Drosophila melanogaster: one gene and its partner. Changing the gene in region 1 together with any one later gene gives a genetic interaction. Each region holds a gene or a part of one and is shown on either strand. Other genes may lie near its edges.

Region 1 (16,036 bases):
GAAAGCAATGGAAAACATTAGGCGTGGTCAGTGAGGGTCAAAAGTTCTGATCACCTGAGCCACTGTGTGTACTGGGTGTGTGTGCAACAGCAGGGCTTTTGAAAATATTTGCTTTAAATTGTTATTATTTATTGACGATCCAATTGTTATTGAGACACATAACTACGCAAATTGCGTGCAATTTGATCGACAGGCGTGCCGAGATTTGCCGTGATTTGTTTGCCACATTGCGTGGTAGCCCGATTCACGCAACGCATCCTCAATTGCAGCAATTGCAATTGATAGGAATCGAAGCGACGGTGGTAATTGATAGTGTGCCACTCTGCTGTTATCAATACGCAATATGCCGCCTGCTTCAATTGCGAGCGCGTCACGCACTTGCACAGCATAACAGTGTTATGCCCACCGCCCACCGACCAACTACACTGAAAATAATTATGGGGATTTTCGCTATCAATTACAGTTTAGTGCTAAGTTTGAATGACACGCAATGAAAATGTCGTATTTTAGGAACTATGGTTACTACTAATTCTAGCAATCATTGCTTAGCAGATTTGCCTTTCTCATGGCAAACAAATAGTAAGAAACAAGTTAAATGAAAATGATAATTTACTTAAAAAACAAATGTAAGGACCACCTTTAATATTATAATTCTCATAAAATGCTGTGAATAAGTCGAATGAATTCGATAGAGCAAAACCAGTATGTCAGTTGCACACCAAGTGTTAATATCTAACCTTGTTTCCATGGAATATCATCCGTATTGTTTCTACCATTTTATAATGATTTAAGCCAGGTGACTGGTAAAGGAAGAGTGGGAGCGAGAAGGAGCATCGCTCCAGAGATAATCGCAAAAGCGAACGAGAGCAGCGAATGAGCGTTTAAGATGCTCATAAATTCTGGACACTTGACTTTTTTATGCTCACCAGTAGGATTCGCTAATTTCCACGCCTTTGTGTGTGTGTGTGTGTGTGTGTGCTTGTGGTCGGTCCCCTTCATATGTGTGTGTGTGTATCTGTGTGTGTTGCTGCTCTCTCACAGGGGCTAAAAATGGGCTTTTGATTTACGCAATATTATATAGACACAGATATAAATATTTGCCTATGGCTACTCCACCGCCTCAGATTGACATTGACAGTCGCGCTGCCGCTTTGTGAATTTTCACCAGCTACGGAAAAGATTGATTATATAGTGCGATCTCAAAGAATTGGACAAGTGTCAAAATGAGCCACGAGATTCGGTAATTATCTGGCACTCGAAACCAAAGAAATTCAAAAAACAAAAAACAAGAGTTCTGGCTACCAGAAAGAGGGATTTACCAATCACAATAAACGGATTAATTCGCAACGTAGTGAACTCCAATTGACTCGAGTGGCGCTCAGGCGATAAGGTTGAAAAAGATTGGTTATTGTTTTATGGCCATGTCGTGATTTGATTCGCATTTTTTCGGCCATTTATCTATAAACCCAATTGACAGCCGAACGGCAATCACAAGTCTACTATATTTAGTACACGGCTACTTCATGTCAGTCCAGCCATCGATGGCATTCCCGCAGCAGGCATCGTTTGTCGGATCAGCAGCATAAGTTGTGCTTCCAAAAAAGGGTGTTTGGAAAATCGATGCCAAGTCAATGAACCTCGAGCAGCAGGGGATGGATCCGCAAGGGGTGGAAAACCAGCAGGAAATCGTCCAGGCAGCCGAAGGAGAACAGCAGTTGCAAAGGTCTAGAAGCTTGACAAACTAACTACAAAGTTGCACAATAGTTGAGATTGTAGAAGTGTGTCGCGGGGATTAGGTGCAAATCGAGGAGGGCTTTGCGAAACGATAGGATGGTCTTAGATAGGATATGATTGATGAAGTTCCTAAGCAGGTCTACTTAGAGTCGAGAAAGAGATGGACGATGGCGTGCGACAGAGAGGGTAGCTCGCTTTTTAGTGTGGCATTATTCAAGCGCTTCTCTGACCATTTCAGTTGCTGTAAGGTCTTCAAAATGAAGGGATCGACGCTGGACAAAATCTCCGCCTTCCTCGGCGAGCTCATCGGCACCGGCATCCTGGTCTTCCTGGGCTGCATGGGTTGCGTGAAGACGGACCTCTTTCCCAACAACCATCTGCAGATTGTGCTGAACTTCGGCTTCGCCGTCCTCATCGCCATCCAGTGCTTTGGCTGCGTCTCCGGTGCCCATCTGAATCCCGCCGTGACCGTGGCCGCCTACATCTACGAGATGGTCACCCTGCGCATGGCATTTGCCTACTTCGCCGCCCAGATGCTGGGCGCCTTCATCGGCTACGGCCTGCTCATGGTCCTGCTTCCCTCGCCCACACTTACGGTGGGCGCTGGGCTCTGCGTGACCTTGCCCCACACCAGCGTAACCACGGGCCAGGCCCTCGGCATCGAGTTCGTAATCACCTCCATCCTGGTCATCGTCTGCTGCGGAGTGTGGGATCCGCGCAACTCCAAGTTCCATGACTCCGTGGGCATTCGATTTGGCCTGGCCATCGCCTGTCTCGCCTGCGCTGCCGTAAGTTAAAGCGAACAGTTGGCTAATCCTTACCTGCCTCGAAACGGATTATTAACCTCGTTCCCTACCATTGGTTTTAGGGTCCCTTCACCGGCGGCAGCATGAACCCGGCCAGGTCGTTCGCCCCCGCCCTGTGGAACAAGCACTTCGAGAGCAACTGGATCTACTGGCTGGCCCCGCTGAGCTCCTCCGCCATCACCGCCTACGCCTACAAGGTCGTCTTCCGCCGCGAGGTGGTTGAGGCGGAGATCACCTCCAATGAGAAGCTGCGGCAACTGGAGGACGTCCAGCTGTCGTAAGGCCAAAGACATTGCTGTAGGAAAAGCCCTAACTAATTTAGTTAATATCTAAGATGCCGAATTTTAAAATAATGCATTCGTTGTACGCTAATGTTAGCAGTGTCTTCACAAAGTGGCTCGAACGTTTCAAAAGGCGAACCAAGTGCACACACTTACATAAGCCCTTGAAACGATAAACGTCTTGGTGAAAACACTAATTGCCTTCAGAAATAAAGAACATCGAGATTTTTAATCTAAAACCAAAACAAAACAAGTAAATTATTTTTATGGTTTTAAGAAATTCTACACAAGATATTGGTAGTTATTTGATACCTGAAGTTCTGCTCTTCTGGGCCATCTTAAAACATGTTGAGTCCATATTATCTAAAAGCTTTTCATTCTTCAATAACGAGGTATTTGCTTTGATTAGCTCTAAGTAACTTCCGGGCTTAAAAATACCAATAAGCTTTTTCCAGGAATCGAAAGTGAAAAAAGCCCATCAGCTTAAGCGGTCTTTGGAAAATCTGTTCATAAGATATTCGAATATCTTAGTACCTCCAAATCGACCAATCAAATGGTGGCTAAAAAACGTTATCAGCAGGCTGCGAATGAGACGCGCGTATCAGCCAAATAAAGCCAAAATATACCAACAATATGCAGTTATTGTACGTTACGTACTCCATTCGGGTCTATAGTCCGTATACGAAGCACAAATGATATATGTGGTTCTATGTGGTTTAAAGGGGACTATGTGCTATGGGTGATATGCTAATGCTGGATTTGCATCACTCTTCTGGAATTTCTGGAAATCACGGGGTGATTCCTTCGAGTAGCTTTCGAACACCATAGGCCAGGTTTATTGGCCTTGTTGTAGCGATTCAGACACTGGCTGGCACACAAGAAGTACGAGTATTGGCCAGGTCTCGGCGACCCCGTTCGCCGTTCGATAAAGATCTTAATGAGATAAGATTGAGCACAAATCGGGCGAAATGGCAGTGGCGCTTATCAGGCCGATAATTACGGCTGAGCAAAGCCCCCCGAAAATCGCCTTGATGGATTGATCCATCCTGAATGGGTGGGCGGGAGCTGCTCCCAAATCTGCGCTCGATAATTAGCATTAAGGTTTTATAATGGATTTTGATTGATTGCCGTAAATTTTGCTGGCACGTTGGGTCACTTGGGCAGCCGCCCAAAATTGCGGCAGTAGAGTTCCGTCAGCATGTCGCAACAGAAGCAAAAATCGCAGGAGTCCAATCCGAACGCCAGGTGGCGCCTGGAAGGACACCAAAGGAGTGCGATAGCCTGCTTCTTCGGTGAACTGGCGGCGACTGCCGTCTTCGTTTTCATAGCCTGCATGGGCTGTGTGGAAACGCCGCTGTTCCAGAATTCGCACTTTCGCAGTGGCCTCACCTTCGGCCTGGCCATTCTCATCGCCATCCAGTGCTTCGGCTCCGTTTCCGGTGCCCACTTAAATCCGGCCATCACCCTGGCTGCCTGGCTCTACGGCGCAATCGGTTGGATCCGGGCCATTGCTTACTTTGTGGCCCAGGCTGCCGGAGCCCTGATAGGCTATGGTCTCCTGGTGGCTGTTCTGCCTGGGAACTCCATCAAGGGTGTGGACAACCCGTCGGGTGTTTGTGTGACAATTCTGGCCCCCGGAATCAGCGTACTTCAGGGGGTCTTCATCGAGTTCCTCATTACCTGCTGCCTGGTCATGGTGGCCTGTTCGGTGTGGGATCCACGGAACGCCAAGCTGCAGGATTCGGTGCCCGTGAGATTCGGTCTCACCGTCTCCTGTCTGATCCTCACAGCGGTTGGTATTTCGGTGCGTTTCAAAGTTGCGAAGTGTTACTTAATGGGAAGTCTGTTGCTTTTAGGGTCTCTTCACGGGAGCCAGCATGAATCCGACCAGATCACTGGGTCCAGCTGTTTGGAACGACTCCTGGGCACACCACTGGATCTACTGGGTGGGTCCTTTGGTGGCAGGAGCTGTGACCTCGCTGATCTATCGCATGGCCTTTAAGGGCGACGAGGAGATCGATCTGAGGACTTCCGATGCCAAGATACGAATGATCGGAGAGGTTATAGTGCAATAGGTGTGAATTGAATCTTATCGAATAAACTATATATATATACGAATATGTTGTAATAATAGAGCCACAAAATATTTAGGTCGATTAAGTAATTAAGCACCACCTTGTATTATTTCCATAGCATACAATTGGGATGAGCGGCGATATTGGCCATTTTTTTGGGGGCTCGTATTCGCTGGAAAGTTTGTCGAGTTTGTCATATATATCAATAGGTCCATAGGTCTTTGAAAATCATTATCAATGGCCATTGATAAGTAGCCCCTTTTAGAATTGCTCAGCTTGATAGCGAATGAAATGTTCTGCGTTTCAACCATTACAACAGGCGGCTTAAATCATATTGATTAGATGGCTTATAGCCCCCTTTCTAGTGGGACACTAACTTAGTGCCTTGTCACATTTTGAATTGCCTTAAAACGTCATAAAGTGGACATACGCACTCGAGTGAATGGAGCACACCAACGCGAATGTTTGGCAATAGTTGGGTAGATATGAGTATATAGAAACGCTGGCTGATAACCCACCTAAGGCGATTAGACGAGATTGCCGGCGATTAAGAGCCGGCGATAGAGTATGCGATTCGCACCATTGAGTACTTGGTCTGGAGTGCAGTCCACGTCGGACCACGTCTCCGTTAAAGTCAATCGCTCGTCGCGACGCACGTAAATCATGGCTACAACCGCAAGGTGATCCACCAAGTTCCAAGTCTTAAAATCAAAATCTAAAATATCCTCGAAGAGTGACTCAAAAAAATTTAAACACAATGAAACCCACAAGAATACTAAAATGGAATACTCCTCTCTATTTCGCAGCCAATCCAACTGCTGGCTGCTGCAGCGCCGCCAGCTGGACAGCATCACAACAGTTCTTGCCGAGATGATAGCCACCGCTATGCTGATGTTCCTCGGATGCATGGGCAGTGTGGAGAACTCCGTGTTCACCAACTCGGACTTCCAGAGCGCCCTGAACTTCGGATTCGTGGTGCTAATCTGCATCCAGTGCTTCGGTTGCGTGTGTGGCGCCCACCTGAATCCCGCCGTCACCCTGGCCACCTACGTCTACAACATGATCTCCCTGCCGATGGCTTTGGCCTATTTTGTGGCCCAGATGGTGGGCGCCTTCATTGGCTACGGCCTGCTGAAGGCGGTGCTCCCGGAGAGCGCCATCTACAGCGCTGAGAACCCCAATGGCGTCTGCCTCACCTCGCTCAACAGCACCTTGACCCCATGGCAGGGACTGGCCGTGGAGTTCCTGATCACCTGCGTCCTCATCTCCGTGTGCTGCGGCGTCTGGGATCCCCGCAATGCCACCAAGCAGGACTCGCTGCCAGTGCGATTTGGTCTGGCCATCGCATGCCTGTCGCTCACAGCGGTAAGTTGATTATTGTTCGGAATAATTCAGATACAGTATTAGATATATCTTATTTTGTAATCCACCTTAATGTCTGTTTGTCCAAGTAATACCGATACAGATAAGACTGTCTGCTCTTAAGAAATATCAAATTGACGATCCGCTATGCTAAAATTCCATTCACTATCTGTTTTCAATTTATCAGGCAAATGCACTTGACTTTCTCGGTATCGATGATAACCTTTCTTTAAATGGCATATATACACTTTTAATATAGACATTTTAGCCATCCCATGAAATGCAATCAATAGGTATCAAAAAAATGTTCTTAATAAACAATTGTAAATCCCCCAACAGGGACAACTGACTGGGGCTAGTATGAATCCAGTCCGATCCTTTGCTCCGGCCATTTGGAACGGATTCTGGGATGACCACTGGATCTACTGGGTGGGTCCCATGGCGGCTGCCCTGATCACCTCGGTGATCTACAAGCACGCCTTCCGGCGGGAGCTGGAGGAATCGGAGGTGGACGAGACGACGATGTCAACCAAGAGGACCTCGGAGGCGGAGCTCGCCTAAATGGATTTACTACACATAGGACAAGTTATCGTTTAAGTTCGTGTTCGTGAGAGCGGAGAGAGCGGATAGTTTTAAGTTGCGAAGCGTGCAAATAAATAGCTTAAATAATTTCCAACGCCTGACGACTATATATTTAATCTAATGTAAATGCTATGCTTATCTAAGCCAGATTATTTTTACGCCACGGCGAACTGCTTATCGTTAATATTTAATTGCTCATACACTTGATCAAATAAGCCACACGGTAGCCAAAAACGTCGAGCTTATGTTTATTGTCACAGCTCAGTTGCACACTGGAATTTCCAAGGGCTTATAAGGTGGCGTATACGCATGATTCCACACGAAGGGCACCATGATGGCGGCCAGGATCTGGCCAGTCAGCTGCATTAGAACCGAATTCGGACTGCCGTAGAATATGGCAGGCACCAATGTCTTGGCGGGGTTCATACTGGCTCCAGTTAGTTGAATCTGCAATAAATGCATATATAGCTATAGTATCTATAGATACAAAATCCAAAGCCTTTCAACTCACCCCTGCGAAACTGCAAGCGATCACGAGGAGACCCATGCGAATGGCGACCGAGTCGAGGAACCTTCCGTTTCGCACGTCCCACAAGGAGCACCATCCGAGCACGAGGACCGCGGTCAGCAGGCACTCGATGATGACGACCTGGTATGTGGACAGAGTGTCCATCGGTTGTACCAGGCAAATGCCTGGCTTGCTTTTGTCCACCAGCTCCTTGGGCAGCAGTTGCATTAGCAGGAAGTAACCAAGGAAAGCACCGGCCATCTGACACACCACGTACATCATCATCACTTCCAGGGCGATGTAGCCCATCAAGTAGCATGAGATCGAGATGCATGGATTCGAATGGGCTCCGGATACGAAGCCAAACACGTGCATCACCACCATCACCGTCAGGCCATAGTGAACGCTATACGATAGAGTATTTAACAATATTCTATTATAGAAATCTCACTAAGCATCACCTGGCCACCAAGAATTTGCTCTCACCACCTTGGTTCGTTGAGTCTCCCATGCAACCGAGCAAAATCAGTAGCGCAGTGGCACTGAACTCGGTGGCTCCGCGTATAAAGGTAAAGAAGTCCCAGATCATCGTGAATTATCCGTAATATGTAATGTATCACAGACAATTTAAGGAAAAAACTAACTAACTAAATGATCACTGACTAACTATGTATGTCTGAGTATTGATTCTCCTACCGAATTCGTATATTGGAAATGTTTAACAAATATATTCGCAAAGCAAGAGGGGTTAGGTTTACTTGGATCATTTGTTAGCCATTTTTGAATGTGTTTTTGCCTCACCTAGTTGGCGTGGAGAAACTTATTAACGAAAAAAGCATAAGTACACAAATTTGACGCAGAGCTTAAAGTATGTTTCGGGGGGCTTATAAGATTCTTACTTTTTTAAAGACAAGAGATACCATGTTTCTATGGTAAGTACGTCCGCAATGTGAGTTCCCTTAAATCCACAATTTCCATGCAGCAAGAGACGACCGTTTAGCGATCTTTTTGACAAAGGAGGCAGTGGCGGTATCGACACGTATCATGTTGTGAGTATCTCCTAACTAAACATTTCAATGACTCATAAAGAACGTTTACCTCCAAGAAACATTTGCAGGGGAACAAGGGAAAAGAGGCAAGGATCATGGAACTGACCGCACAAATCGAGTCACTTGAAATGCAAATCAAAGCCCTTGAGAAAAGTAAGTCGTCCGAGGCGAAGACTGCGAGGGGTAAACTTATATTAGTGCTCAAAGAGTTGAAACAAGCCCTCCGAAACATAAGAATGAATAAATAAACATAAAACTAAATGATTGCAACAACTTGTTTGTACTGGCAAGGGCGATGGTAATTTTACATTTGACATGCGTAACCAACGCGCCACCTATGGGACAGCAAGAATGCGTAGCATAGTTTTTGGCATAGCGAAGAATGAGATAACTATAAAATGTGGTTATATGCAGAATTTCAGCTCCATATCAGCAGTTTGCCAGTTTGAAGTATCTTCAACACTTTGCAATTACTTTCAAACTTTTAGAGATAATCAAAATTAGCTGTTTTCATTTTCGTAAGCATGGACATTAACCCAATAATCAGATCTATTCTCAGCCGCTTCAGAGGCTGCACCATCAGGTAGGTTGCATTCTGTGATTATACATATTCAATCATAACATTTTGATATATAGAAGTTATCTGGTTGTCCTGCCCGATCAGAGTCGCATAGAAAATCAACTAAAACTGGAGGATCTGCAAACAGTAAGTTGTTACCTTTCAAGATAGATGATACAAAAATCGAGCGCCATCTAATCAAATCCCATCGTCAGGAACGCGGAATCTTGGATCTGCAATCCCATGAGCTGGCACTCAAGCAAAAGCGCGTCGAGGCCAATCTAACCGACCTGACCCGCTGCATCCGTGGCATGGAGTTCGATGTGAAGGTGAATTCCAATCGCGAGAGGAAGGAGAGAAAATCTGATCGACGCCCCCCAGCTGATAAGAAATCACCCAAAGTCGGTGATTTCAGCGAATAGCAAAATCCCCCCGGGTGCTTCCCAATCCCAAGGGCATACGAGTGCAGCGTATAAAAACAAGCTATTGCCGGAGGTCGGCATTCAGATTCACTTGAGATTGCCAACCATGAAGCTGATCGCATTGTGCTGCCTGCTCCTTTTGGGCCTCCTGGGCTTCCTAGCTGCTCCCGGCGTCGCCTCGCCATCTCGCCACACTGGACCAGGAAACGGATCGGGATCTGGAGCTGGGTCCGGAAATCCGTTCAGGTCTCCAAGCTCACAGCAACGACCACTGTACTACGACGCTCCGATTGGGAAACCATCGAAGACTATGTACGCCTGACGTAAAGAATGAAACAATAAAGATTTGAAACGCCTAAACTAAATTAATCGCCCAGTTTCCTTATCTTACTTATGAAATGGCCTTGATACACATCTGCTTACTATTTATAAAATGCGTAATAATTATTTCTAAATTTATTGCAAATTCTAAATTTCATATCGAAGTAGTTGCTTTTGACCGTACGTCAAATATCCACATTGTACTTTCAGACTTGTAAAATGTATTTCTGCCACACTGATTTCGTTCTATCCTAAACTTAAGAAGCCATGTTTCCTGTTGCACGAATCTTAGGCTCGGCATCGTGCAACAGGCTATTTCAACCTCAGGTGCTATGTCAAGAAAGAGTTTGGTATGTAGTACTGGAAATTTATCCAAACTTTATTTGTAAATCTTCTAAATATTAGTTGGCCTTCCAATGAGTTGCACAGAAATTTACCAAGGCATAGAAACTTTTACCACGGTAGAAACATTTTCCACCCAAGGTCGAATAATAATTTAAACGAATTTCCTGCTAAGTAAGTATTTTATTATTCAAATGACCCGTAAAAATAATTTTTTTTTTACATATGATAGACGTCAATTCACTGACAAATTTTCCGAGAAGGGCAGAGGCGAGGAACTTAACTATGTTCTCAAACTTGTATGTATCGAAACTATTTAATGTTGTGAATAACCTTGTAGAATTGGGTATTCCATAGGCCTCAGAGCAATTTATGAAGATAAAAAAGAACAGGGTTAAAGAAATCGCCAATGATATCGTCAAATTGAAAGAGGAGATCAAGATTTTGGAATCCAAAACTAGCCACAAATCAAGGAAACACAAGGAGAATCTGCTAAAGGAATTGAAAGCTCTGAAGGATTTGTTGGAGCAATTCAAAAAGAGTCTCGAAAAATGACCTATCAAACGGTAGGCTATCACTTTTAAGTTTGTCAATATTCCACCTTGAAATACCTCATCAGTTACTATAGTAAATTCCAAATTATCTTCCTCCGTAAGGATACAATGCTGAAGTTGGTCGAAAAGCTTTTCCAACTGTTGCGACCCAGGATGTGTCAGTTTTCACAATCCAACAAGTGAGTTCCGTGTTCTGAGCACTTATGGCTTCGCTTATTAGATGCATCTCTGTATCCAGGAACATATCCAAGCATTTGTTCGAAAAAGCCAGGGCGGAGGAGAACATACATTTCCTTAAACTGGTTGGTTTGTGATCTCAAAAAACGAAAGTAATCTATTTAAATTTAATTGCAAATTTACCCAGCAACGGGAACAGCTGAAGTCGTTGCGAGAAAAGATTCTCAGCCAGAAGAACGAAGTCACAACAAAGATCATCAAGGTGGATAAGCAGATACAATCGTTGGAAAAAACCAAGACCGAAGGCTCACAGATGAACCATGAACAAAATTAATAAAGTGTAGCTGAAACATTTGCTTGTTTTGTTTTGTATTTTATTTAAAATAATTTGTATCTCTCATTTACACGCTTTACAAAGAAGTCTTCTACGACAACTGAAGCCGAGTTGGCGGCCTTCTTCAAGCCTGCTTATACGTAGGGTACATACATATCATATATTATATATGGTAACAATTTGTTTTGCAGCGCAAACGGAAAATATGAATTAAAAAGAACTTTCATGTAATATGGCATTGAAACAAACATATATAGGGTCATATATATATCAACATAGTCTATACAAAGATACAAATAAATACAAGTTCAAGTAAGAATCAAAATCAGAGACAACTGCCGATTGTGTATGATGCATTGACATATATAAGGTTCTTCTCTTAGGACTATGAAAAATAATCTTGTGTGCATTTCATGTTCGTTCAAATCGTTAGTTGTGGGGTAGCAGAGGTCAAGAACGTAAGTACAATACATTTGTGGTAGTTGAGCAACTTGGAGAGAGTGGTTCCCATACGAACTAAAACTAGAAACTAACTAAACTTGACTTGACTTGGTCAAGTGCTGGTTAGGCCAGAAGAGAGTGTGTCTGTGTGTGTGTGTCTGCTAGCTGAGTGTGTGCATATTGTGTGTGTGTGTGTGTGTGTGCTTGTGAGGTAGGCGATTCATCATCATCATCGTCATCATCATCATAAGATTATGGCATACTTCCGAGCGCCTCCTGATCCTCGCTGGGGTTCTTGGGTTCGGTTCTGTGTGTCGGGTTTCGCTTCTAGCTTTCAAATACTGATCAACAATGCCAGGAATGTCTCTCTGTGTGTCGGGTCTGGATGTGTAGCTGTGGATCCTGCTTTCAACTTAAGACTAACTCTAGTGCTAACTCTAGTCGATTCCCAATCACGCTCTCTGCCTGCGAACGTGACCGAGTTGACAGGCTTTATTTCTATAAACTAATGTAACATGAAACGGCGATGGGCTGCTGCTGCTGTTGCTGCTGCTGCTCCTTTTGCTGCTGCACTGCCTCCTAACTGGGCAGTCGCTTGCTGGCCAGCTCCAACTGCAGCTTCTGCAGCGCCAGTGTCTTGTTGATCTCCACTAGGTCGCGACTGTGCTTTGCCGCCTGCAACTGCACCTCCAGGATCTTCATGCGCATCATGTGCTCCTTGCTCTGCATCTCCATGAACATGCGCAGCTCAAAGTTGTTGTTGTTGCTGCTGCTGCTGTTGGCATTGGTGCTGACTGCCGTTCCCGGCATGGTCAATCCATTGCTGCTGCCGGACCGCTCTAGGGCCTGCGAGTCCGAGGATGCTGGCACTGATGGGGCCAGGACTGGTGCCTGATCCTCGCTGCCCAACATGCTACCACTGCTGGTGCGCTGTCTCTTAGACTGCGGCTTCATGCTGTCCTCGTCGTCCTCGTTGTTGTTGTTATTGTTGTTGTTGTTATTGTGCTGGTGATGCATGGCGACCTGGGCCTGTGCCTGGTGCTGGTGAATGGCGGCCGCTGCCGCTGCTGCTGCACTGGGAAATTGGCCAGAACGGAGGGCATTCAGTGCCTCCAGCGTGGCGGATATGTTGTTCATGTTGAAGTTGGCCTGGAAGCCGGACATGTCACCTCCTCCGGCCATATAGGCACCGCTCGAGTCCAGGACATTAGATGTGGAAATCGTGGCGGGACTCTCGGCCTCGTGGATCCCGTTGCGACTGATGCTGTGATTAGGCGACACACTGAGACGCTCGCCGCTGCCAAGGATGTCGCTCTGGTTGAGGTGGTGATGGTTGAAGGTCTCGTTGAAGGTCTCGTTGTTCTCCTCCTCCTTGATGTCCACATCGCACAGTTCCTGCGGCGGTGTGCGGCTGCTGCTCAAATAGAGAATGCTCAATAAAGATCTATTCAGACTACCACATAGCGATCAACTTACTCATCCATGTCGTGGTCTTCGGGATTGAATTTGTAATCCTCACGATACTCAAAACCCTCCTCCAAGGCCAGTGGAATCTTAGAGTAATCAATGCCATCCAGGGCCTCCGATTTGCATGCCTTCTTCGCCTCCTGCATGAAATCCCACACCTCGAAGGTGAACGGAGATGGCTTCTTGCGATCGGCCACCTCTGCTCCAAACCTGGCCAGGCGATTATTGTAGTCCAGGATCTCGTTGCGAGTACATGCTAAAGGATGAGATCGAAAAGGTTAGCTTTGCCATTAAATATATGTATTTTATAAAGACTTACCCTTCATGCGACGCCACTGTTCCTTCAGGCGATTGCAGGTGCGATCGGTGCCAAACTGATTGGAGAACTTCTGGTGGATAATCTTCCATGCCTTGTTCTTCACGGCGGTCAGACCGGCATCCAATCTCTTGTTCTCGATAATGCGCATGTCCTTGCGACACAGATCGAGTAGGTATTTCTTCTCCTGGTGGTTCCAGTTCTGGGTGCGTTCCCTCTTCTTGTACATGTTCATGGAAGGACTGTTCATGTACTGTGTCATTTCTGCAAGCATTCGATGATTGAATTAAGTTCCTTCAACGGTCACTTCGTTTTGTTTAACTTACCCGTCTTTATGTCGACGCCCTCCAGCAAGTTGTGATTGGAATTTTGCCAGTTGGCGGCAATCTTCATAAAAGCCTCCAGATCGGTGGCCGAATACTGTTTGTTGACCTGCAACGGAAGCAAGAAGCGAGTGGCAGGAGGTGAGAAATCAGTGATTCGTATTGGGAGGTAACTAGTAACTGGCAAGAGTCCCCAAATTACCCGCACAGTGGAATTAGAAGCCCCAGATTGGCCTTCCCAGTAGTTGAGCATACAAAACTTGTGCCAAATTCCGCACCAAACGAAAGCGATTCGCGGGACGCACTCGAAAACCCAATGAACTTGGCGATGAATACTGCCAAAGTCGAAAGCAATCGAAAAATTTGGAGTTTTTCGGTAATTATCAGAGTGTTACTTGGGGCACATCAATTGGGTTTTTGTTTTCAGACAGTAAGGTCAGTGAAAACAAAAGGATTCTGATTCGGATTCTGAATCTGAGTCGTTGAGTCTTGAATTCCTTCTCTTGTTTTCATTCCCTTATTCCATCGAATTTACCCTACCCTGGATGATATCTGACTTTGACATGAGCAGCTATAGGATGCAGTCACATTAATTGATTTTCAATTAGCAGACAGGCGGACAGATGAACCGAGCGGAGAAGGGGGGGAAGGAGGTGTGAGCGATATCGGGGGTATATGGGTACGAATGGGCTAAAAAGAATGTGAATATACGAACAATCGAATGAATTGAGCAGCCATAAGACGAAAAAAAAAAAAGTAAAAAACCATCAAATAATAATGCCATGAAACGCGTTTTAATTTATAAGCTAACACAACAAGCAGCTGCCGACATTTTGTTTGTTTCGAAAATGTATCTGTGCGGTTGCTCGGTATCCGAATCCGAGTATTGGTGCGATTGAGTGGAGCGATCAAGAGACATACTGACAGCCAATTATATCTAATCAAGTACATATATATTCAAATGTACTATATAAATATTCCAGAATGTGCATTTACTCAACGCGTTCTTCGGTCGCTTTCTGGCTCCTTCGATTGTTCCCCCGTCTCGAAATCAGACACAAAAATTCCCTCATAATTTAGTAATAAAAGAATATTAACTAAATTGGGAAGAGCATAGAATTATCAATAACCCTTTGCAGACAACACGAATGCCCAAATCCAAAAAAGAGCTCAACTGTACTTGCCATATATTGTCTTCATCGAAACTCTTTCATTGATCGCTCCCCCAAAAAACACAATCGTCAATCTTAAGTACGTTTTATGGTGCTTTATTTTATTTCAATTTTGTTCAGTTCCTTCCGTGCCCCTCAACTACCCCACCCCCACCCCCCCTGCAGCCATCGAACACCCACAACTCTTGGGTGTATAAACTACTGCGCCATGTGTTCAATATTTATGCCGTATCTGATTTACAATTTATACTTATACTCGGCACTCGTATGTGTACCTCGTACACTCGAACTACGTATCTAGATACATACGTATATATGTACATTCGCATTTATCGCGTACTCGAAGACTGAAAGGAGACTTAGTCATTGGAGACGCGGCGCGTGCGCTTATTATTTTTTATTATTTGAGCTCTTCCTATATACATATATAAACTCATATTTATTAGCAAACAATTAATTATTACGGCCGACTATTATGGAGCTGTTTAAATTTTAGTCATGAGCTGCGGGGTGGTTAAACCGCTCCTTTTGGGAAGATACACGCAGAGAAAACGATATGCTGATTTGAGAAATCAATAGATTCTTCAATGGGAGGTTCTCGTACTTTCAAGCCCATGAGATGCCAGAGTTTCTGTCAGTGCATTCAAGGAATGCCAGAATCATTTAAATTCGAGGCGAGTGCCAATTATTCGCCAGGGTGGGGCTCCAGCCAAGTTAGTCAAAGATGAAGTTCGAAGATGCCAACTGTGAAATTCTGTGCCCGAAAGAACGCGCTGCTCTCCAGGATCTCTCAAGCGATTTGATACCATTTTTGTTTCGATTCGGAAATGTAACTAAATTACGTCAATCCGCGATGTATATTGGATTGTTTGCTGGCACTCCGCTTTTGGGGCTGGCAGCTCGCACACTCATAGAGGTAATCACACTCCTCCAATCAATGTGACTTCAAAACTAAGCATTGAAATTAAATAAGCAAACTGGTTTAGATTTTGGTCATCTACGTCTGTGAGCGTATGAGTATGACTGTTTGTTGTTATCTGCTTTTGTGGGCTGTTAATATAAACGAAGTATAATTACCGAATCTACATGCTCTACTCGAACCCAGCGATTGTGAACCTACACACACGGCGCAAACCGGAGCAACAAAACACAACCTTGTGCCTTAAAATAAAGCCCGGCATTGTTAGCTCTTACGGCTACTTATAGTTATG
Region 2 (15,560 bases), 740 kb from region 1:
ATGCACAAACATATTCCTCTTTTCCGACATGATTGGCTCAGGGAAGGGGGGTGAGGGGGTGGGTGGAGGCCCAGTCTGGTGGAGTCTATTTTACAGCTGCTGACCCACTTTTCCCAAAGTCAAGAAAATGTGTGTTGCTCTGTCTGTTGTTGTTCCTGCAGCATAGAACATTTCTTTCAATGCGCCCAATCAAAAAGAGCCCAAAAATTGAAAGTGAATTCTGGTGTTGGGCTGCTGCAGCCCCCAACCCCCCGAAACCACCCCACCCCATCCCCCAGCCAATCCCCCCCCCGGCGAAGAACTCAGCAATGCCGCCGAGCAAACAACAAACAGCACCAGCAACAACAATTAACAACAATTCAATTTTAAGGGAGCATTACATACACACTTGGCCGCATTTACACGGAGAGAAAAGGGCAGATACTATTTCAATAAATAACAAGATAATAACTTTACAATTCTTCTTTAAGTTGAGAGCCTTATAACCTGCCAAAAAATAGTATGAAAGTACACACTTATGGGTCATTTCTCTCTGTGTACATATTTCTTTATGACTTCAGGGCGCATATTTGGGTTTGTTTGTATGCCGTCGTTTGTATCTGTGTGCAGTAAAGGAAAAATGTTCAAAATTGGGTCAATTTGTTGTTGCTGCTCTGTTTTTCTCTTTTTTTTTTTTTTGGTGGGGCGTTCTGCTTGCAACAAGTGTCTGGCCCTTCGCCTCGGCAGCCATCTCTTTCGCTCAGCGGACGCAGGTCTTGCCCTAAGATAAGTAACCGCCCGCCACCCGTACCACTTCCCCTGCCCCTTAAAGGCCAACAACACCCCCCACATCCCCCCGGAAGATTGATAAAGACGGCGACGCCAACGCGCAGCTGAAAATAGAAGCGCGCGCAGCTTTCTTGGAAGACTTCGTTTTTTTGACTTTTCGAAAAGGGCGCCCCTTGTAAATTTGGACGCACCAACACACAGATACGCCTTGATTAGCCATGTGTGCGTGTGTTGGCGTTGAGATTATTTTCTAGCATTTTTTATATTTTTATTGTTGCTGCTGCTGGGCCTGTAAGAAAAGTAGGCCAATGGGTCTTTGGGTGAGTGGTTTAGATTTAGTTTTGGTTTGGTTCGGTTTTGTTGTGTCTCGCCCTCTTCCTCTCGCTTTCTTTTGATTTGCTATTTTATTTGGTTGGCCTTTATTCTATTCACTTCGAATTACCACTCATCGTTGCACCTGGTTGTATTTGTGATTATATTTTTATAATATTCTATTAACTATTTACTCCCTACGCACGGTAGGGGAATTCCTGGCTTCTGCATTTTAGGTTTCTCGCTACAAGCCACGATTAGTTAGTTAGTTAGTGGAGATTAAAACTCCTTCGATGTTAACCCTTTTACTTTTACTTTCCGCCCTTTTTCTTAAGTGTTAATGGCCAAGTAGGCACATAAACTGCTTTAATATTCCCCTAAGGTGGGCCACTTTTTCCCAAATACATACTTTGCATACATACTTTTACTACGCGTAAACTTATTTCTTTTTAATGTGCGCTGGAGCTGCGTAATTGTTTCAAATGGCAGTGTCGACTGATTGGACCGAGAGAAGGTAAATGGATGGATAGCATTTCCACTCGACGTAAGTTGCGTAAGGAAAGTTGGGGAGAAGGCGAAAGGGGGGATGCGATATCATTTTCGCTGTGGGTCGCTGTGGCTGCACAATCTATTCGATGATTTACCATCTGGCCATCGTAGCAAATGTCTCTATTTCGCGTAGCTCGCTTGATTTATAACGGAAAATTCGTTTAGGCAAAACAAAACGCTAAACAATTTTTGTGGGCCACGTTAATAAGCGCAACATAACGAACATAATATCTTAACTTGGTCATCAGGCAGAGCAGACAGCCCAACAAAAGAAAAGGCATCTTTAAAGCAGCAACAACAGCACTCGGCTTGGCCCATTACATAACCCCCACACTCGGCCACAGATACACTCACAGATGCAGATACAGATACAAGCGCAGATACATGCCGTTCCTACGAGAGCGGAGCCGAATCTCAGCCAGCCAGAGCTTCAGCTGGCTTTTTAGCCTGGCTCCCCGAGTCTGCTTTTACACTATGCGATCGGTCCAACATGATGGCGTATGGCGTATGGCGTCGTCGAAAAGAAAATAGTCAATGTATTGTGGAGGGAAAACAACAAAGCGCGAAGAAAAAGATTGTGGTGCTACACTGCGAGAAGAGGGGCTAAAGTGAATATGTTGCATATTTTAGGTGGCAGGAGCTTGACTTGCACAGGAAAAATTCAAATACTTTGTGCTCAAATATCTTAAAAATATTCATGACAGTTGGTTCTCCTTTTGCAGCTCAACTTTTCTTCGAGTGGAGCTAGATGGGCCATTGTTGTTGCGGCGGCTGTATTAGATAGCAAAAGTCAGTCTGCGTCGAAGTCGGAGTCGGCATAGAAAGTGAAACCACCGCGTTGGCCACACGATCGTCGTTGCCAGGCGAACGGCAGCACAAAGGAGAGGGAACGAAGCCCGGCTCTAAGATATAAGCCAAACAACTAACTATTACTCAATCTGTGCTAAAAAGAAAAATAGAGATAGATGAATAGATGTAAAGTTGGTCTCTGCCTCTCTCTTTCCCTCGAACTCTTCCCTCTCTCTCTCTCTCTCTCTATCTCTCTGTTTCTTGCGGCACGAAAATAAAAGTGAAGTAACCCACTTTTTCCGTTATGGTTTTTATAGTCGCTGCAGCTAAAGTCGAGATGTTGGAGCCACAACAATGCGGAGCGGACGAAGTGGAACTGGAGTGTGAAAGATGGATTGGATGACAACGGAATCGAGATGGATTGAAACCGGGATCTGGAGCTGGAGCTGAAGCTGATTGGAGGTCCAATCTGCCAAGCTTAAGCTCGATCATGTAACCCAACATCGTATCTGTGATTAGTGTTGATTCCATTGATATCCAGTTACTTTGGCATATGATTCAATATATTCTGTTTGGATATGTAAGCGAATAAAAAACTGATGCTAATCTTATAAAATCCTAATTATTGTCATACTTAATAGAATCTTTATTAATTCCTTCATAAATCTCTTTGCCCGTCGTTAAGTGTCCCAGCCTTCTTTCATGGCGGCAATTAGCATTTATCAGCGCGGCGTACAGGTGAGACAGAAAGAAGTGTGTTTGCTGCCTCGTCTGCCCGTTGCAGTTGCGAGTCGCGAATTTATCACTTCTCGCTGCCGCCGCTCATAACTCATACGCCTCGTTGCCGCGGCGCCTAGTTGGGCAGTAATTGTGCGGCAATTTCTGAGCGCTTGCCAAAACGCAGATGCATTCGGCATTCGGCAGGAATCCCGCTGCAGGGGGCGAACTTTCTCCGTAAGCTGCTTAGAACCCTTATCAAAGTCAGGCTTAAATGGGATTGGGATGGATTTCGGTTGTGGCTGCGGTTTGTGGCTACCGAGCGACACCCACAAGTTCGAAGCAATTTCACTTTTGGGCCCAGAGTGCATGCGCAATTAGCTTTCATCAATCAAAGTGCTCAACAATGCAGCTAGACAAATTGGACGCACGCAGCAGCAGCAGCAGCAGCAGCAGTTGGCCAAGATACAGATACGGATGGAAAGAAAGTTTTGACCAAAAGGGCTTAGCCCGAGCCCAAATGTCTGTAAGTGATTATCTGCCCCAGGTCGGCATGCGTTTTTTGGCTCTCTGGCTCCGTGGCTCTGTGGCTTTTGTTTGGGCTTTCTCTGGCGCGTTAATTTGTCGGTTTCTCGAGTTGCATTAATTCTTTTTCGCTTTGTCGTTTATAAATTTGCTTTTCGTTTCGGGTTTGTCTTACTGTCAAATTGTGTCAACACGGCCGCCTTGCGATTGTCTGGGGTCCTCCACTTCGCCCTCCTTCCTCCCTGCAATTGGCCCAGTGTCGCGCCTGGCAGCCCGAAATGCATTGCCTTGTCGTATTTGTCCCATCGGAAGACAGCGAAGACAGCGAAGACAGAAGACGGCGGACAGAAGAAAGACCCTGCCCTCCCAATGCGGTGGTGGTGCGTCTCTTTCTGGTCTTCGCCCAGCGTATCGTTTTGTCGCCCAAGTATGGCCGACATTTAATTAGACACTTTTTGGCAGGGCTTTTGCATCAAATTGTGGCTAGGGCTAATTGCAGATTGGTAGTTGAACTGTGGAAATTAAGAAGTTATCTGAAATTCATTTGGGTTTTAGTCAAAACGCACGACAAGCCGATTCTTTGTATAAGGTAAATTTTATTTAATTTGTTTAGATTTGCTTTACAGTTTTCTTTGTTTGTGTATATTTAATTTACGAATATATAAATTAAAATGAGAACATTGCGTTTGCCTTACAATTAATAGCATTCATATCTTCTACGCTCTCGGAAGCGAACCCGTGGAATTCGCTACAAGTTGGTTGATTTCGGGAGGCTTTCCTCTGGGGATTGTGCAGGTAAAGCGATGCTTGATTCTCCGACTTACGAACTAGAGATTTGCTAATGTTGTGTGTCAAGCAGGGCTGGGCGTGGGAGTGGGCGTGGCATCAAGCATAGAGCGAAGCCGCACACCGTCGAGAACTGTACACATTTGAATTAGATGTATAAATAGTTAATAGGTTTTGAAGTTTGTATTTTCGTTCTTCGTTCCTGCGTGTTATTCTTTTTTACATTAATATTTTTAACATTTTTCTTTGGCTTAACTTTATGATAGATATAATGTATAAGATTATGTATAAAAACGTGCGAAATATATATGTTACAGTCGTTAAGAATTAGAATTAAGTACAAAAATATGCTTTACAGTGATAACAAGAAATGGGGACAGAGTAAATGTACAAGGAATGCCACAGCGATCGGCAGAAGAGTTTGGTCTCCAAGCGATGCAGCGGCCCACCAACTTGGCGCGACCGCTCCATCGTCTACGGCCAGAGAGGACAATGAGGAGCAGGAGGAGAATGAACCTTACGAGCTACCCACACAGCATTTGTATCTTTGATTTAGCAGAGTCTCGCTCACACGCACACACTTACGGCTGGAGCACTCACACACTCATACACACACACACACGAGCACTCAAGCATTCAAGCACTCACGCACACACAGAACTCGCAGGACACTGGCTTTAGCTGGCAGCGGCTACAGCGAGTGTTCGTTGGTGTTGAGGAAGCTGCGGCAGACGCGGCTCACTTCGGGATTGGCGTGGTTCATTAGCTGCATGTAGATCTGCTTGTGTAGCTGCAGCTCGTTGGTCATCTCACCAAGCTGCCGAATGAGGGCGTCCTTCTCCTTGAGCAGGCTCTTCACGCGCTCCTCCACCTCGCGGGAGCGCACCTTAGCCTTCTCCCGGCTCTTGCGCACCGCTATGTTGTTCCGCTCCCGCCGCCTGCGGTACTCATCCGTGCCCTTGTCCACATGCTTGTTGCTGTGCTTGCGGTGCTGCTGCTGTTGCTGGTGCTGCTGATGCTGCTGCTGCGCGTGCAGCTTGCTGTGCTGCTTGAGCAGATTGTGTGCTCCTGCTGCGGCCGCCAGGTGGGGCAGGTTGTGGTGCGCCAGGACGTTGGCCGTCGTCAGGTTGGTGAACTGGCTGCCGTTGCTGCTGCCCGTGCTGCCGTTGCTCCCGTTGCTGCTGGGCGTGGTGTTGCCTCCGTTGAGTGGGTTTCCGCCCCCGGTCAAGCCATTCGCCCCCGATCCGTAGCCGTTGTACAGGCCTGCTCCATTGCCCATGAAGGCGGCCTGCTGGCTAGCCGCCTCCTGCAGGTGCCGCCTGTACTCGGGGTCGATGGGCTCCTCCTTGATCGTGCTGGAGTCGGAGCCCACGGAGCTGTTCTCGTCGCTGGAATTGTTGTAGGTGGCGTGCACGGGCTGCGGCATGTAGGCCAGGGCGCCTCCTGCTCCGCCACCGCCTCCCCTGCCCCCGTAGCCGTGCTGGTTCCGCAGGGTCTGCTGCTGCAGGACCTTCGCCGCCGCCGAGACCATTCCGCTCGGCGGCAGGGTGGCCGAGAGTCCGCCCGGACTGGTCACCATGTCGCTGAAGATGCCCAGCGTTTCCGTGTCCCTGAACTGGTCGTCTATCAGGTGCTGCAGGTCGAGCGTGATCTCCTGGGTGGTCAGCTCGTCCAGGTCCGTCTGAGTGGAGTACTGCTGCAGCATCTGCTTCTGCAGCAGGTTGTTGTTGCTGCCCAATGCGGCGACCTGTTGCATCTGGTGCATGGCGTGCTGCTTGACCAGGAGTGCCGCGTCCTGCGACGTGTTGTTGTTCGCATCGGTAGTCTGCTGCTGGGGTTGCTGCTGCTGCTGTTGTTGCTGCTGCTGTTGCTGCTGCTGTTGCTGCTGCTGTTGTTGCTGCTGCTGCTGCGCCGTGGACATGGCCGTCAGTGTGATCTGGCCAATGGTGGCCTGCTGCAGGGGAGGCTCCTTCTTGAGGTCCAGCTGGGCCAATGTCTGAACGGCATCGGCGTACATCTGCGGCGACTCCATGTTCAGCATTTTCAGTTGCGCGAAGGAGGGTAGAATCTTGATTCCTTGTAGAGCGTTAATTTTGGCTGTTTTTAGAGTTCAGATTTGGGAATAAACTTTTGCTCGTTTGGCGCCTAAAGCATTGCACTGAGGTAAGAAGTGGGTCTTTGGAAATGTTCGACTCGGATAGCTCGCTATTCCGTATGCTTCATCTTAGGCTGCCTGGGTGGTCACTGCAGCCGAGCATCGTACTATTGCTTATTATGTTTCCGATTCTTAGCGCAAAATGTTTTATTCAGTTTGTTTACTTTGTTAACTCGACACTGCACTTCTCCGGCCGCACGCGTTCGAACGACTGAAGTGCCGCGGCAGTGATGCAACAGATTTTATACGAGACGGCCTGACGACTGCCGTTGGCTAGTACTCTCGTACTCGTACACGTACGTGTGCTGGTGTTAGAAACGCTCCTGAAGAACCGTTAGCTGAGCGAGCTTTTCTTCGATTTGGATTTTCTTGGCCAGCGGAGAGCGCGCGTCCGTCGCCGACGAGTGGTAAATTGTAACTGTGACAAAACGCGAACGCGAACGCGGCAAAGTGAAAAAGTCTTTGGCGCAGCGACGCAGCCGAAGAAAAAGAAAATGAGCGGCCAGCGCATGTAACACACACACACACACACATTCACTCGTACCGCTCCACACCGAAGCCCCAAGCGTTGCCGTCGCCGTCGCCGTTACAGCAAAGCAAAGGCGGCAGCAGCACAGCACAGCACGAGCAGAGCAAAAGCAAAGCAAGAGCAGGCAAAGCACAAGTAAGCCAGGCAAAGGCAAAGGCAACTACCTGTGGATGAGAGCGAGAGCCGCGATCAGGTAAAAAAGCAAGAGTTTTCCCAATCACTTTTACTCTCGTCGCAAGGCAATTCACTGGGCCATTCTTGTGGTTGCTGTGCGGGCCAAAAGCACGAATGCAAGCAAAGTGCATTTGGTACGAAGCTGGGAGATACTTCTTCAGTTTCCGGAACTTAATATCATATTTGATAGGATAATTACATTTTTTATATAGAATTTATTACATTTATACATGTTCCACATAAGTTAGTTTAGATATTAGTTTAGATATTAATTGTTTAATTAAGACCCCATCCTAGAATCCAGTATTAGTTATGCGCTGATGCAGTGAATTTCATGATAAAACTCAATGCAACGCACGATCGCGTGACGTCACACAAAAGGGAGCCCCAAGGCACCCACACAAGCTCAAGCGAGCACAGACACCAGCAGCGCGCGACGTCGGCAGCGCAGCCAGCGCTCATTATTCCTTGGCTCTCGCTTTCGTTTTCATTTTCATTTTCGGTTCCGTCGCTTTTGCTTTTTTTGGGAGAAGAGCCGCACAGCCGCAGCGAGAAGCAACAACACCACGCCCGCACACACCGGCACTCCGCTGCGTAACCCCCGACCCCCATTTTGGGGCCTTGCCCACTCCGATTTGTGTTTGGGCTTCGACTCGCTTTGCGCCTTAGAAATACAGAAAAGCAAAAAAAAACACAGAAGTGCAGTTACTTGGTGGATCGGGGGATTGGGGGCTTGGGGATTGGGGCCTGTTTTTGGCGCGCATGCGTGACTGCGCAGTGGAAGCGCAACGCATCGCGGAGCTTTCACGTAATAGGCAGCGACGTCTTATTAAAATTAAGACTGTGTTATGAAATTCATAAAAATTAGCACGGCTCGTAGTTTTGTTTATTTAAATGCAGCGATTTGTGAAGTCGCCTTCTCCACTTTTCCCCCATTGGCGCTCTTCTGCTTGGTGCTCACTCCGCTAACTCTGCTCACTCTGCTGACTCTCCTGAGTTTTCGAGTCTGCAATTTGGGTCAAGTTGTCGTTTACTTTCCGAAGGTGCGTCCCCTGCTTTCGGCCCCGCCTCTCGCCCCCGTCTTCTGCCTTCGTGTATGTACCTTTTGTTTACCCGGACTTTATTAATCATACGCCCCGTGCGCCGTTGCACGATAAGAGGGTATTCCGCTGTCGATGACAGGACAGCCACTTTTCTTCGCTTATCAGTCAAGCTATTGCAGCGAATCGGAAATATCGCCGATATCGATGACTGCATCGAGATTGTGCAAAAGTGCTTCCTTGTGCGTCCACAAAGATATTCTTCTGGTCGGGTGTATTTCAAAACGCATTCAACGCACCCTTATTGTTCTTGGGGGATTGCATTGTGCGGTCTGGTTACCCAAGAACTGATTCCATATCGATCGATGGGAAAGGTGATGAAATCTGCAATTTAAATGAGGCAAGATCGATCCATGTGCACCTTATCTTATCAGATTGTTTATGGAGAAACTACTGGTTAAATGGGATTAAAGCAAAGCAAAGTCATTTATTTATTTGCTTATCCTCCTGCTAACTGGAATCGTCCAAGGCTTACCTAAAGTTACCTATTTATAAAAACTTGAAAGCATAAATTTTTTAAAATAAATTTAAAAAAAAAACACTTCAAATTAGCAAGTAGGTGGACTGGCTATAAATACCAGCCCTTTGGCCAACAAGAAGGTGTTAGCCCTGATAAGATTAAAAACGCAAATACCATTGGCCCCCAGTAATTTCACTTTTTAAAATTGAGTAGGGTATTCATAGAGATGCTAGCATAAATCATAGATATTTACCCATTGATACCAAACTTGGAGAAAGTCTAGCAGATAAGCAGCTCTTTATCACCTTGATCCATTTCAGCGTTTTCCCAAAAGGGAAATTGTAGGCGTATTTATCTGCCGTCGACAACGCCCACGCGCAAAGTGCCTAAGAGTTTTATTTATATATTTTGGCAAACGACTGATAAGACGGCCAAAAGCCGCGAATTCGTAAACAAAACAAATACGAGTAGCGGCCACAATTCACAATTCACAACTGGCGTTCGTTGCACTCTGCAAAAAGTTGTCTGACACATGCGAAACTCCGACTGAATTGTGTTTATAAACACGGCCATAATTGGGAGTTTTGGCCAATGATTTCTAGACGGCGTTGTGTTTTGTTTTGTCTTCATTTTATTCGCCACTCGCAGTCAACTTATCTCGATGACGCGTAGCCAATTTAACTCTGCACTTCCTCAAATCCGAGCTCAATCGAAGTGAACTCGAGTCGATGGGGTTGGGTTACACACTCGCTTCATTCTCACGGCCTTGTTTATAGGAAAGACCTTTCTAGGAAGCTTTTTTGTTTTGGTGCGGTGAATTTTGTACTGATAGAATAGATATTAATTCCATAAGTACGCTTCTTTATTGACTCATCGCAGCAGATAAGTTCATACTTTTCACAAAACCCAGTTAGCCAAAACTCCGGTGGTTTCCACCTAATTGCAGTGTACTTAACACCATTTAAATGCAACCAGTTCGACGACCCCAAACTCTTTTCCAAAGGGGATTCTCGTGCTTTTGCGCTTCACTTCTGTAATTCTGACTCTACTTCCACAGAAAACGAGCCCGTTCCCTGTCGCCGTGTGCTGATGAGTACAGAAATTAATAATATTTAGTGCTGATGCGAGGCGATTCGGCAATGAAAGTCGGCTCTTCGGCGAAAACTTTTCGCTGCCCGCTGCTTAGAAAAGTCTTGCCAATTAATAGGAGCGTGAGAATAAAACGCGCGAGCCATCGAGTTCAACCAAAAATAACAAATATTTCAATTATTATATTTTAATCTAATCAAATTTTAAAACATCATTTTGTTTCATTGTTGTCCATGTGTAATTATATTTATAACAATAAAATCTATTTTAAAAATTATGTAAAACTTAAGCATATATTAACTTACTACTTATTTTCAAAGCTATTAGCAAATGGCGCGTAGAAAGTTAAAATACGTTTGAACAATTTGAATTTGAATTTAAGCAGCGCTTGTAAAGCAGTTTTATATCGATAGGTATACTGCTTGCTTAAAAGTTCTCCGATAACTTATGTGGCGCCATCTAGGCAAGAAGTTATGAGTATATGGTGCACTGCTTGGGAAAGGTGACCTGCTTGTCAGTTGGCGCCAATTCATGCAATTCAAAATCTGAAAATACGGCAAGTAATATATTTTAATCATTTATATTAGGTAAAAAGACTTATGTATAGTATTGATAAAAACAAAAGTATTTTATATACGATCCGAGGGAATTTTTGAAATTTCTTAAGTAAATTGTAAGCTGAGCGTTGGTATTTATTGTTCGCCTCTCACCTTTGCGCCCATTTCCATGCTGCCCATCGCCCGATCCTCGAAAATACATCGAAAAAGCAGCCCGATGAGCCCACAACTCATCCTATGGGATGCCTAACTACCTTTGGCATGCGATCGATGGCCCGACGACAAACGCATTGATTGAAATAGTTTATTTGCAGGCCAACAGTGAGTGACCGGCTCTTGGGCCCTCGATTGTGTTGCCTTTTTGTGCCTTCCTCATATTATTTGTGATGTTGGCAGAGCGCAGAGATAATGATGACGAGCTGCCAGGCCGGCCAGAGGCCAAGGAGCCTGGCCAGAGTCCGCTGGTCCACCCCCTTGCGGACTCTGGTGGGGATTGGGGGGCCGCATAGTGGCCGGGGCACGACTGATTGGGATGCCTGGTGAAGCGACGTGCGCAGAATTGACATTTTGTGTGTGCATTTGTGCATTTGTGCATTTGCGCACAGTGGGCGCGATAAGGTCGCACAGTCCGCTTCCAGGCGACTCCGACCACTGCTCTGATTTCCAGGCAAAAGTCAAAGCCGGGCACAAATTAAAAATGCCCCACAATTGCCCGCGAGTTTGAGATCGGGAACGAGAACGAGATCGATCGGGCGATCGATCGACAGCTTCTGCACTGCCAGTGGAATTTTCATATGAGCGCTTGATTTCAGCAAAATTACATACTTGTAATTTTAAAATGCTGCCGAGTGCCGAGAGAGTTGAAAAGCAACAGCACAAAAAAACGCCAAGCATCGCCGAGTCCAGGAATTTTAACCCCAAGTCGCACTGGCAGTCTGAATCTCAGTCCGAGTTCCCGATCCCCATCCCCATCCCGAGTCGTCTTCTTCCAACTGATCACTTACGCACATTTTATCACAGCCAAACTGGAGACATCGCTGTGTGAGCCTCCTCCTCCAACTCCCTCGGCTGGATCGAATCCCGATCCCCCCAATCCCCCTTCGGTTGCTGCGCAGCTTGACAATAAGTGGCTCGCAGTCAGATGGGCAGATCGAATGGTGGCTACCTTTTAGTTCAATGATCTTCGCTAGTTGTTGCAGAATCCCAACTCCAAACTCATCCAGAATGCTGGACGAGTCACTTGAATCACTTGCTAGATATTTTGGTAAAGGCGATTTCCTCTAACTTTTAGTAATAATTGATGTTTCATATTGTAGTGTGGTGCTCCAGTCCAAACTACCCCACATACCCCCTAGCTAGCAGGGAGGAAAAAATAAGTTACCGTTCTACGCGCTGAAATTTGTTGTGCCATCGACGATCCGCAGATCCCAAGCTGCTGTGCTCCACCGTTGGCAGTTGGCAGTTTGCAGTCTGCAGTCTGCAGTCCGCTGCTTTCCGTTCTGATGGCCTCAGCCAGTGGACCGTCTGCGTCGATCCTCCGCCTCCACCTCCATCTCCCGTCTCCCGTCTCCTTGTCCGCCGTTGTTGTCAGTTGGAGACCGAGTACAAGCGACCATAGATCGCTGGCAATCGATCAAGTATTTCGCGTACATTATCCGAGATGCGTGGGATAATTCTGTTCTAATTTGTAGAGGCCCCGAGCTCCAGTGCCTTTGGCCTCTGGACTCTGAGTTCTGGGCTTTGGGCTCGACTTGGCCAAAAGTGCCTCGAGGAGCCCACTTCCATGCGAGGCACGCACCGACCCATCTGCGCCTGCCTTCTGATTTTCATAATTAATATTGGGTGAATTAAAATGCGCGGAAGGCGAGGAAGTTAGAACCGCGTGCTCGGGAGGAGGGGAAGTTAAGGGAAGGGCAGGCGGTTCCGAACTTCCTGCACTTGTCACCGTGAAAAGACGCGGCACCACCTGCATGCAAATGAGCCGGACTACCGGTAATCAGGTGAAACGGTCACGACCTGTTAATCGTTTTATGATTGTAGCGGTGCTTTTGTTTCCTGTGCACAAACGGTACTTGCACTTCGGCCCAAAAGAAAACCAATGCCCAGAACTGAGAACTGAGAACAGAGAACTGAGAAGCGAAATCGTAAGGCCAAAACCCCCAGCTTTTCCTTTTGTTTTCGCCCAGGGAGCCGCAATTTTATTTAAATTGTAACACAAGCGACCAGACAATTGCCCCGAAGTCTCGCAGAGCTCGATCCTGATTTCGATTCCGATCCCGATCCCGATTCTCAACCCAATCCAATCCCTACTCCCTGCTCCTTATGCGTTATTCATGAGGCAAAAACATTGCGATCGCCTGTACCAATTGCCAATTGGTTCGACTTTTGAGCTGGCGTTGGCGGTTTTCTCTGCCGGCTTTGTCAATCTCAGGCTTTTGGCTTAGTGCGCTGGAGCAGGAGCAGGAGTTGCAGTTGGACCTGGCTTGGTTAAGTGGTTCATTGTCACCCCAGCGCCCAATTAGACACCTGAGTTTCTTGGCCACTCGCTTTCCGGCGATCATACACCGCAGTCATGTGCTCATGTGCCACGTTCTTGCATTCAATCAGATATATTCCGATTGGCCGATCTCGGGCCCATCTGTATAAGGAGTGTGTGTGCTCGGTGGTTTGAGTGTGTAAATCAACCAGCTTGCTGCGCAGATAATAGATATTCTATTTTGAATAATACCTGGGGAGTCGCTTGTACTGTTTTCGTTTTTTTTTTGCTATCTTAATTGCATCCAATTCTACTATCACCAGTCGTACCAATGACTTGCCATCCGAATCTCGTGCTTTACTTGAAATCCTAACACAATATTTCGCAGATACTTTCCCGCATGACCATACTGAAAAAGACAAAAAAAAAGGAAATTTACATATTTCGACTATTTAAAACACTTTGGCTTTGGCTTAAGGCAAATGCCCAAGTAGCGCTATAAATAGTAAAAAAGTCTATATATATAAATATACACATATGTGGCTATGGCTATGGCTAGCTGCAAAATCAAAAGTTGTTCGGAATCGTAAATGGAACAAACGCTCCTCTCGAGTTATAAATATATTTGGGAATATACCTATGCCATCCGTATGCCTAGATGATCTGTCCACCGTTTTGAAGGTGAACTCTGCAGGATTACATAATGCGGACTCTGAGCAGCAGCATCAGGAGCAGCCCCCTAATTCCCCTCGTCCCCTCTCAAATAAATGCACGTAAAACGGCAAGCAAATAATTAAGTATTAGAAATGTTCAGCTGGGGAGAATTCCGCGGAAAGTGCGATGGCAAAAACTACAGCATGTTGCAGTTGTTCCCAGCTGGCCAGAAGCCTCCAAGAGAAGCCAAGAGTTCTCCTCCAGACAGGCTGACGATTGCCTAGAAAGACAGCCGCACTGGAGCCAGCGGACTCCTACTGCCGGTGGAGGAGAAAACGGCGGAGAAAGAGGGCCTGGATGGCTGCAGACGCTGAAGAGCCCAGCCTGCAGCCAACTAACCAATTAGTAAGCGCTGCACAGAACGCGTCTACAATTGTGAGAACCTCAGACCAGGCTTGCAGGCCAACAAGTCAACAAGCCAAGAAGCCAACAGCCAGCAGGCCGTGTGAGTATGATGAAATGTCAGCAGGACCAGAAGCTGCATCGAAATGCACTCGGAGAAATACTTAGCAAACAACTAAAACCAAATTACACAATAAAAAAGTGTCACAGAGCTAGAGATGCATATGTCATATGACCCATCTGTAAACCTAATCCATATAAAATACGGAATTATTAGGAATGCGTGGGGATCATCAAACTTCATCTTTATTTATTGTTCTTTCTTTTCGCAGTCTTGGGGAAATGGGAATACAAGTGGAAGGCATCATTCAGATTCAAGTGACCCAAGTGGCATCCGTTTTCCCGTAGTGTCCAGAAGACCTGGTGCCCGCTGCGTGGATCGATCCTTATATGATCCGCTGGCAGCGGCAAACGTTCTATTTTGACAGTCATTATGATTAATTTAAATCATTAGGCAGCCCGGGCAGGTAGACAAACCATCGAGCTCCTATATTCCATCTAATTAAATGCGAGAGGAGCGGAGCTGCAGTTGGCTGTGGTCCTGGTCCTGGTGCTTGATCGGAGTCGACCTCGGAGTCGGAGTCGTGGAGCTGGACACGGGACCTGGACTGGCTTATTCGCGGAAGAGACAAGCTGGCGACAACGACACCGATGGCTGGAAAAGGCAACGATGACCATTTGCAGCTGGGGAATGCATCATCTTCGATCGCGGATCGGGGCGCAGTGAGTGTATCGATTTATCTGCGCTTACTATATACATATCTGCTGCTATCTGCTAGTCGCTGCACGTGGCCATGCCCACTCCGCCCCTTTGCCCATTCCGCGAACCTCTATTTAAGGACATGGCGAAATACTCGTGCTCCTGTGTACAAGTGGGCCCACCACGCAAATCCTCTAGAGCATTCTGACCATATTGGCGGGGCTAAGAAATTCCTGGCATAGTTTAAGTGTATCGCTTTTTGTTGCTGCGCCCGGGCACTCAAGATGCCCGCAAAGCTCAGCCTGCGAAATGTCGCAAAAGAAATTACAAAATCAGCAATAAGAAAATCAGAAAATCACAAAATCAGAAGATCACAAATTAACTAAATTAACAGCGCTGATAAGGCGAAACGCCACGTATGTAATTACCGAACTCAACCACGAGTTTTCAAGGGGAGGAGCCAATGAGCCACCCAGCCATATGAATCCCAAATCCACGATCTATGTGTGCGCATGCGCAGCGAATGGGTATGCATATGGGGGCGTGGCCATCTAATTAATTAAGCCATAAAGCCAGCAAAATGAACGACGGCAGCAGGAAGACGCCGAACGGGGGTGGGGATTGGGTCGGGGAATGGGGGATTGGGGTTTGTTTTTATGTACTCCGTACTCTTCGCGTTCGAAATCGAAGAGAGCGCGGCGCTCTTAGGAAAAGAGGAAACCGGTTCGCCCAAGTTTGGAATATCGAGCGAACATCGT

The links.
Region 2: of apt (region 1) and slbo, changing one suppresses a phenotype caused by changing the other (phenotypic suppression), as found in Drosophila melanogaster (one study listed by BioGRID).

Annotation. Positions count from the first base shown.
Region 1 is NT_033778.4:23,594,618-23,610,653, reverse strand, and holds apt (apontic), read right to left. Parts: upstream 14,063-16,036; 5' UTR 13,907-14,062; coding exon 13,856-13,906; intron 13,763-13,855; coding exon 13,657-13,762; intron 13,595-13,656; coding exon 13,334-13,594; intron 13,271-13,333; coding exon 13,024-13,270; intron 12,962-13,023; coding exon 12,127-12,961; 3' UTR 11,128-12,126; downstream 1-11,127. Other genes in the region: Eglp4 (entomoglyceroporin 4), read left to right, coding at 1,848-2,522, 2,603-2,821; Eglp3 (entomoglyceroporin 3), read left to right, coding at 4,020-4,613, 4,678-4,896; Eglp2 (entomoglyceroporin 2), read left to right, coding at 5,703-6,261, 6,598-6,819; Eglp1 (entomoglyceroporin 1), read right to left, coding at 7,102-7,287, 7,352-7,754, 7,810-7,937; CG43209 (uncharacterized protein), read left to right, coding at 8,219-8,280, 8,331-8,397, 8,454-8,645; CG10332 (uncharacterized protein), read left to right, coding at 8,922-8,980, 9,034-9,103, 9,172-9,378; IM18 (immune induced molecule 18), read left to right, coding at 9,485-9,700; CG42559 (uncharacterized protein), read left to right, coding at 9,967-10,049, 10,105-10,215, 10,274-10,340, 10,399-10,596; CG42560 (uncharacterized protein), read left to right, coding at 10,704-10,774, 10,834-10,897, 10,960-11,106.
Region 2 is NT_033778.4:24,327,284-24,342,843, forward strand, and holds slbo (slow border cells), read right to left. Parts: upstream 7,025-15,560; 5' UTR 6,488-7,024; coding exon 5,138-6,487; 3' UTR 4,239-5,137; downstream 1-4,238. UniProt on the Drosophila melanogaster protein: Required for the expression of gene products mediating border cell migration. Among the DNA sequences that this protein binds with high affinity is a conserved site within the promoter of its gene.